Oryctolagus cuniculus: one gene and its partner. Each later gene encodes a partner of the first gene's protein in a complex. Links are inferred from orthologs where the notes say so. Each region holds a gene or a part of one and is shown in the gene's direction. Other genes may lie near its edges.

Region 1 (3,648 bases):
CACTCCCCAAATGGCCGCAATGGCCAGAGCTGTGCCGATCCGAAGCCAGGAGCTGGGAGCTTCTTCCCGGTCTCCTACATGGGTGTAGGGGCCCCAAGTACTTGGGCCATCTTCTACTGCTTTCCCAGGCCACAGCAGAGAGCTGAATTGGAAGAGGAGCAATTGGTACTAGAACTGGCGCCCATATGTGATGCCAGCACCACAGGCGGAGGATTAACCTGTACCACGGTGCTGGCCTCTCGTTTTTTAGTTTTATGATAATATGCTAATATTGAGGGAGTGTCTACTGTATATTGTGATTGTAACTCTCGTTCTGTTTGTTTATTTTCATAACTCTGTTGTCTTACATTAACCTGTTGAATGGGTACTGACTTCAGGTTTTTTTTTTCCAGTTTTGTTTTTTAATTTTCTTTAAGGTCTACAGATTTCATGTATTTTATATATACAGATTCAGAAACATAGTGATACTTTTCTAAGATTTTATGTTATACATAGATATAATACATAAAACCATTACTGTATAAAGGCCTGAGATGAGGCCTATGGATCTCTACCATTGCAAGGTTTCAGCATTCTAAGTTGACTCTGGAAAGTTAAGGATGTCCATGGTAATCCCTAGTACATATTTTAAAAAAATATTGGGGCCGGCGCCGCGGCTCAATAGGCTAATCCTCTGCCTGCGGTGCTGGCTCCCCGGGTTCTAGTCCCGGTCGGGGCGCCAGATTCTGTCCCGGTTGCTCCTCTTCCTGTCTAGCTCTCTGCTGTGGCCCGGGAGTGCAGTGGAGGATGGCCCAAGTGCTTGGGTCCTGCACCCGCATGGGAAACCAGGAGAAGCACCTGGCTCCTGGCTTCGGATCAGCGTGGTGCGCCGGCTGCAGTGCGCTGGCCACAGCGGCCATTGGTGGGGTGGTGAACCAACGGCAAAGGAAGACCTTTCTCTCTGTCTCTCTCTCTCTCTCACTGTCCACTCTGCCTATCAAAAAAATATATATATTGGGACCAGCTCTGTGGCGTAGTGGGCTAAGCCTCTGCCTGTGGCCCCAGCATCCCATATGGGTGCTGGTTTGTGTCCCAGCTATTCCTCTTCTGACTCAGCTCTCTGCTTATGGCCTGGGAAACAGTGGAGGATGACCCAAGTGTTTGGGCCTCTGCACCCACGTGGGAGACTGGAAGAAACTCCTGGCTCCTGGCTTCGGATCAACCCAGCTCTGGCCCTCATAGCCATTTGGGGAGTGAACCAGCGAATGGAAGACCTTTCTCTCTTTCTCTCCCTGTAATTCTGCCTCTCATAAATAAATAAAATCTTTAAAAAGAAAAAATGACCAAGAAGTATAGGTTAAAAAACCAGTAAGAAAATAAATTAAAATGGAATTCTAAGGAATATCCAAATACTTCAAAAAGAAAGGAAGAATAAGAACACAGAAGAGATAAATAGAAAACAAATAATGGTAGAACTAGGCCCAAATGTATTAATAATCACATTCCAAGTTATTAAAATACACTTTCCAATTAAAAGATTATGAAATGATTTTTTAAAAAGACCCAAATACATCCTATGTATAGGAAATGTACTCTAAATATAAAGGCCTATAATCTTCTCAGCTTTATTGGTGCTGATTGAATTTAATTTCATAGGTATTACCTTAAACATTTCTTGAGTTTAGCCATCTGATACCAGTATCTATAGTGTTTCTACTGATGTTTACAATATGAAACAAAATAACACCACTTTGATTTAAAAAATATTGATACTGATATTTTTATTTAATCAATGAAAATTTATAAACTAAAAGTAAACAAAACTAAATGTTGTATTTCAAATATGTAATTATAAACACTGAAAAAGTCAAGCAGATTAATGCAAATCATAGCAGATGAGATTTTTTTAAATGAAAAATAAATAAAAATTAATAGTGAAATTTAAAATGAAATAATATACTATTTTAAGTACATTTTTAAATTAACATGCATGTATATTTTACAGTTGCTGAAAACTTTTTGTGATTAGTTGGTTTAATGGTTGAAAGTATGAGATAACTCTACATCATTTCTTTTGGCTCCTTTATATTCCAATTCGAATGCTAATTTAATAATTTTGAAGATATCTTTTTGAAAACATTGCTTTTTTAGTGGTATGGAATGGGAAGGGACAATACTCTAATCTTTTTCTGATAATTATATTTTTGTTTCAAAGACAGCATTTCAGTTCACTTTTTTTTAGCTTCAATGTCTTATGAAAAGAGGAAGATTCTCATGCAGTTACCTATATCCGTATTTTAGTACTACCATGCTCATAGTTTAGTTATTCAGAGAATCATTGAACAAGAGTAAAAATTATTCTTTTGTCAACTGTCACTTTTTCCCACCTAAGCTTAAGGATTCTAGAAGTATAGATGCACATTTTCTAAATCAATGTACCTTTTATTCAATATGCAATGTCAATGTAAGCCATACTATCTTGGTATGTCTCATGCTAAAGGGTTCAGATTTCAGATTTTTAAAATACTGAAATAATAAGATTATCAACACAATAATTATAATTCCATACTTAAAAGTAACATCATCTATTAGGATACTGTGAACTGAAATGACAGTCATTAATTTACAAATAAATTCTGTCAACATTGAAGTATGAACTTTAGCAAACCACTTTGTAATTTTGTCAAAATTATTATATTTCATGTGGAGAAGTGCAGGCTAGACACAGGGAAGGCTACATGAACAACTGCTGTCAAAAGTCCTTTGCCTTGTTGAGTTTTGTTCTTCTGTGGTTTTTTTTTTCCCCCTACTGAATGTGTTGATCTGGGTTAAAGATTTACAGACTTTTCTTTAGCAGTGTGAAAAAAATTATCTTACATGAAGCCTCAAAAATTAAAACAGTTTTACCTGGTGAAATAATGTGGCTAAGGTGTGCATGGTTGGAGCAGGTAGTAGAGGAAGGAGTCTCAGCCTCTCTGTTTCTACTTCCCTGACGTGGGTAGCCTGTAGCCTCTGAGGGACTCAGTTGAGGAAGTTCTGCAGGTTGTGACACACACACACAAGGATGCCAACATTGAGGACTTTTGTAACAAAATCTGGTGAACCAACAATACCTATACTCTTCTGGATTTCTTGCTAGGAAGTTTTTAAAAAGTAGTTTAAACTTGTGTTTTCTTTCTTTTTTTTTTTCTTTCAGGAAAAAATCATTCCTGTGTTGTGTTCTACATCTTCAACTTCTTTAAAAACGCTGATCAGAGAGAGTGCCAATTCAGGTGATAGGGATGCTGCTCCTAGAATGTCTAAAATAGTGATGTCTACAGGTAAGTTAGTATTTTAAAAAGAGTATAAAATTTCCGGTCTTTTATTCTGTATTGTTTTCAGTTCTTTGATGTCCTAGAGTTAAGAGGGGAAAAGATGATAATAGATGATAATAGTAAGCATTTCTTTTAGTATTTTTCATATTTTAAAGTATTTTGTAATGCTAATTGATCAGTTTGATGTTAGGGAAAAACATTCTGCATAAATATGAGGATACTTCAAAAAGTTCATAGAAAAATAGAAAAAAGATAATTTATTTTGATGTAAAAAGTTTTAAATTTATGCATAATTTTCAATAATATGCATTTCCATGAGCTTTTTGAAGACCCCTTATAGGTATGGTCTCATGAG
Region 2 (4,104 bases), on another chromosome or scaffold:
TGTAAAATAAGTGGATGCCACAAGTGTGGTTTTGAAAGAGATTTATACCTCACGTATCAGTTAAAAGGCCACTAATCCTTTCTCAAAAGAAATCCTGAATACAAACGAAAGTTTCGGTTAATTGTCTTGCTTAAGGAGACAGTACTCTCACCAAAGGTTGACTCCCATTAAAAGGCATGGATATTTAGGAGATGATTCAAAACTGCTTCTCAGGTGCTTAATTAATATCTTGAGGAATGAATAGTTAGAAAATTGGATTCAGTGTTCCTAGTCTTGAAGATAAGCCTTTCCTGCAGAAAAGGTAAGAATTTGTAATATTTGTGGCCGGCGCCACGGCTCACTAGGCTAATCCCTCTGCCTGCGGTGCCGGCACACCGGGTTCTAGTCCCTGTCAGGGCACCGGATTCTGTCCTGGTTGTTCCTCTTCCAGTCCAGCTCTCTGCTGTGGCCCGGGAAGGCAGTGGAGGATGGCCCAAGTGCTTGGGCCCTGCATCCCATGGGAGACCAGGAGAAGTACCTGGCTCCTGCCATCGGATCAGTGCGGTGCGCAGGCTGCAGCGTGCCAGCTGCGGTGGCCATTGGAGGGTGAACCAATGGCAAAGGAAGACCTTTCTCTCTGTCTCTCTCTTTCTCACTGTCTACTCTGCCTGTCAAAAATTTTTTTAAAAAAAGATGAATTAAAAGAGCCTTTGGAATGCTTGTTATGGCTGGACAAAATCCTGAATAATGAGACTTTACTACATAATTTTAATCCTTGACTCAAAGGAGGAAAAGCTTATCAGATCTTGAAGAAATGAGAATTATCATTGCAAATTGACTGATTTTTTATATTTACTCTTCTAAAATATCAAATCAGAACTTTTCAAATTAGAAATCTTTGCTTACAAGAATAAAAAGGAAAAATGTGGCCCAAGTAGTAATTTACAAAATCTGTTAGAAGTTTCCCATGATATAGACAAAAATTTAAGCTAGTTTACAGAACTCATTCCAGGGACATCTTGTTATAAACCACATCAGAGTTTTGTATGCCCATTTATTCTGTACATTTAAGAGATATTAGATGCTCGCAAATGTATTTTATTTTCCAAACAACACTTTGAGATAGGTAGGGAAGTTAATAACTTATCCAAATTCAGCTGATAAATAGCAAAGCTGTAAGGCCGCCGCAAAAGACATCAAACACCAGAGTTAAGGGAAAGTTTTATTGTCTGGTGGGAGAATCCTGACAGGCTGGGGGAGAGGGGGAGAGAGTAAGAGGGAGAGGAATCAGGAGAGAGAGAGATCAAGAGAGAGCACAAGTGTGTGTACAGGAAGCAGGCCCTGTTATACCTTTTCTAGGGGCCAGGGAAGTAGGAGCAGTGAATCCCATTAGGGCTGGGGTGGAGCTGACACCTGTGGTTGGGCCATTGGTCACCTGGCTTGTAGCAATGGAGGTGGGAGCCAGAGCCTAGGAGGGTGTCCCAGGCATAGATGGTGCCACAGATAAGACGGCACCATTTTACTAACAAAAGCCAGGATTTGGATGGAAGCAGTCTGGCGCCAGGATGACCATCTTAACCAAAACAGGCTGCTTCTCAGCCTCAGAGACATTTATTAAATCACCACTACTGGGGCAATCATTGTGCGAGGATGTAAGAACAGAGAAGAGTACTTGAAAACTATTTCAGAGAGATCAAATGGTTAATAGGGCAGCAAGAGGTTTTGTTTTTAACTTAAATGGATACTAAAATTCACACAAAAATACTTTTTTAAAAAAGATTTATTTATTTGAAAGAGCAACAGAGAGAGAGGAAGAGACAGAAAGAGATCTTTCGTTTGTGAGTTGGCTTTCCAACTGACAAGAGCCAGGGCTGGACCAGATCAAAGCCAGGAGCCTGGAACTCCATCCTGGTCTCCTACCTGGGAGGCAGGGGCCCAAGCCTTTGGACCATCATCTGCTGCTTTCCCAGGCCCGTTAGGCAGCTAGATCAGAAATGGACTAGCTGAGATTCAAATTGGCATCCATCACCAGCAGCGGCCTAATGGCTGGGCCACAATGCCAGCCCCCAAATAAATGCTTATGTTAGTATGTATGTGCCTTAACATCGCATCAAGTAGCAGCGTTCCTGTGGAGAACGCCGAAATTACCTCAAGGAATTAGAAAAAACACAACAACAAACAAAGGCTGTGGGTCTGCAGTTCAGGTGTGTAGGAACAAGCTGCTGCTGTTTTTCCTTTAGTCTCTGGAGCCAACTGCAAGGATTCTTCCCGGGGAAGTGACCCGCGATGCTGTGACTTACACAGAGCCGGCCAAAGCCAAGCCGTCCGACCCAGTAACCCAGGTCCACAACCTCGAAGACAAGAGAGAGCAGGTTTCAGCGAAGCGACCCTGTTCTCTCCTTCAGGAGATGGAATTCTCACCCGGTCTGCCACTCCTGTTCCAAAGCCCTTAGAACTGAACGACTCGCAGCCCAAAAGCTGCAACTTTGTGGGCACAGCAGTGTCATCTGGTCTACTCAGCACAGCTCCGATGGCCCAGCACCAAGGAGGCCTCTGTGGGAGCCAGCCCCCCATCCGCACCCCCAGCACTGCACGGAGCTGGTATAAAGGCACAAGGCAGGATTTTGCTTGGTGAGCGGCTTTGCTCAGAACCGCGGGCTCTGGAGTCAGCAACCACTTGGCTAGGACGCCGCACTCCAGAAAAAAAAAAAAAAAAAAAAAAAAAGGCCTCCCAGCGAAAGCACAGCAACCTCTGGCACACGTGTGCCTCAGCGGGGGCACCTCTGGCTCCAGCGCTTCGTACTTGTGCACAGAGCAGCTCTGCCTCCAGACTTGGACTGTTTCCAACCACGTTTCTTTATTTCTTAGGAGTTTATTTCTCTGGGAGCGAGCGCGGACACAGAAACATCAACATCTGCTATATTCACCTGGTTTCCTAAAGCGGAGCACTCGGCCCCCCTGAGTATTCATATGGGCGGCTATGTAAATGAGGACTAGGCGTTTGCTCTTTTGATTGGACACAGCTGCAGCAGGCCGTCCCTCTGCAATCCCGCTGGTTGGGAGCGGAGCCTGCCTATCATTGACCACTGGAGCCGCGGATGTTGCGGCGCCCAATGGGAAGGCGCTACCTAGTGGCCGCAAAGAGTTTGTAGGCAGTTCCGGTAGGGTTCGCTTCATTCGCGGACCGGACTCGGTTGGTTGTTTGGCTTTTTTTCTTTTTGCTTTTTTCCGGCCTGGCTGGCGTTTGAGGTTAGAGGTGAACATGTCCGGTCGTGGAAAGCAGGGCGGCAAAGTGCGGGCCAAGGCCAAGTCCCGCTCCTCCCGCGCGGGCCTGCAGTTCCCGGTGGGCCGAGTGCACAGACTGCTGCGCAAAGGTAACTACGCGGAGCGGGTCGGCGCGGGGGCGCCCGTGTACCTGGCTGCGGTCCTGGAGTACCTGACGGCCGAGATCCTGGAGCTGGCCGGCAACGCCGCGCGCGACAACAAGAAGACGCGGATCATCCCCCGCCACCTGCAGCTGGCCATCCGCAACGACGAGGAGCTGAACAAGCTGCTGGGGAAAGTGACCATCGCGCAGGGCGGCGTCCTGCCCAACATCCAGGCCGTGCTGCTGCCCAAGAAGACGGAGAGTCAGAAGGCCAAGAGCAAGTGACCCTGGCGCCGCCGAAAAGGGAGCCGGCTTCCCCCCGCCAAGCCTCTCTTCGTCGCCGTCCCGCAGTACTCTTGACTGTGCTGGATGTCAGGGGGGTCCGGAGCCAATAAAGTCGGTGAAAATCGTGTAGTCGAGAGAGCTGTGTAGTCGCCGGGAACTGGTGGATGACCCCGGGGGAGGGGCGGGCAGACGGCACTGCTGGATCCATCTGAGCCGCCCACGAACCGCCCTGCCCCGCAGGCCACCCGGGGGCGTTACGGGGAGAGGAGGGCGGCCTGGAGGTGGGCAGGGTGGGGAGCCCCCCCTGGCCCGCGGGCCGAGAGCAGAGGCCGAGTAGGTGCGGCGCGGCCTACCCTGGAGCGTCTTCCCAGGGCCTTGGCTCCCCTGCCCTGTCTGTAGTAAACCAGAACCAAGTTCTAGGCGGAGAACCACCTCCTGGGGCCTGAGCTAGGCCATACTTTTCAAAAGATGGA

What was found.
Region 2: the proteins of SCML2 (region 1) and H2AJ are in contact, whole or in part, in a crystal structure (PDB 4EDU), measured with the Homo sapiens proteins. The link is inferred for Oryctolagus cuniculus from reciprocal best matches to the Homo sapiens genes SCML2 and H2AJ. Residues at the interface, in NP_006080.1 of Homo sapiens: Asp182, Asn185, Tyr187, Leu188, Cys190, Phe206, Trp209, Phe213, Pro239, Pro240, Gly241; in NP_808760.1 of Homo sapiens: Leu35, Arg36, Lys37, Gly38.

What each region holds. Positions count from the first base shown.
Region 1 is NC_091453.1:4,445,147-4,448,794, reverse strand, and holds part of SCML2 (sex comb on midleg-like protein 2), read left to right. Parts: intron 1-3,175; coding exon 3,176-3,299; intron 3,300-3,648. UniProt on the Homo sapiens protein: Putative Polycomb group (PcG) protein. PcG proteins act by forming multiprotein complexes, which are required to maintain the transcriptionally repressive state of homeotic genes throughout development.
Region 2 is NC_091440.1:112,556,320-112,560,423, forward strand, and holds H2AJ (histone H2A.J), read left to right. Parts: upstream 1-1,234; 5' UTR 1,235-3,241; coding exon 3,242-3,631; 3' UTR 3,632-3,760; downstream 3,761-4,104. UniProt on the Homo sapiens protein: Core component of nucleosome. Nucleosomes wrap and compact DNA into chromatin, limiting DNA accessibility to the cellular machineries which require DNA as a template.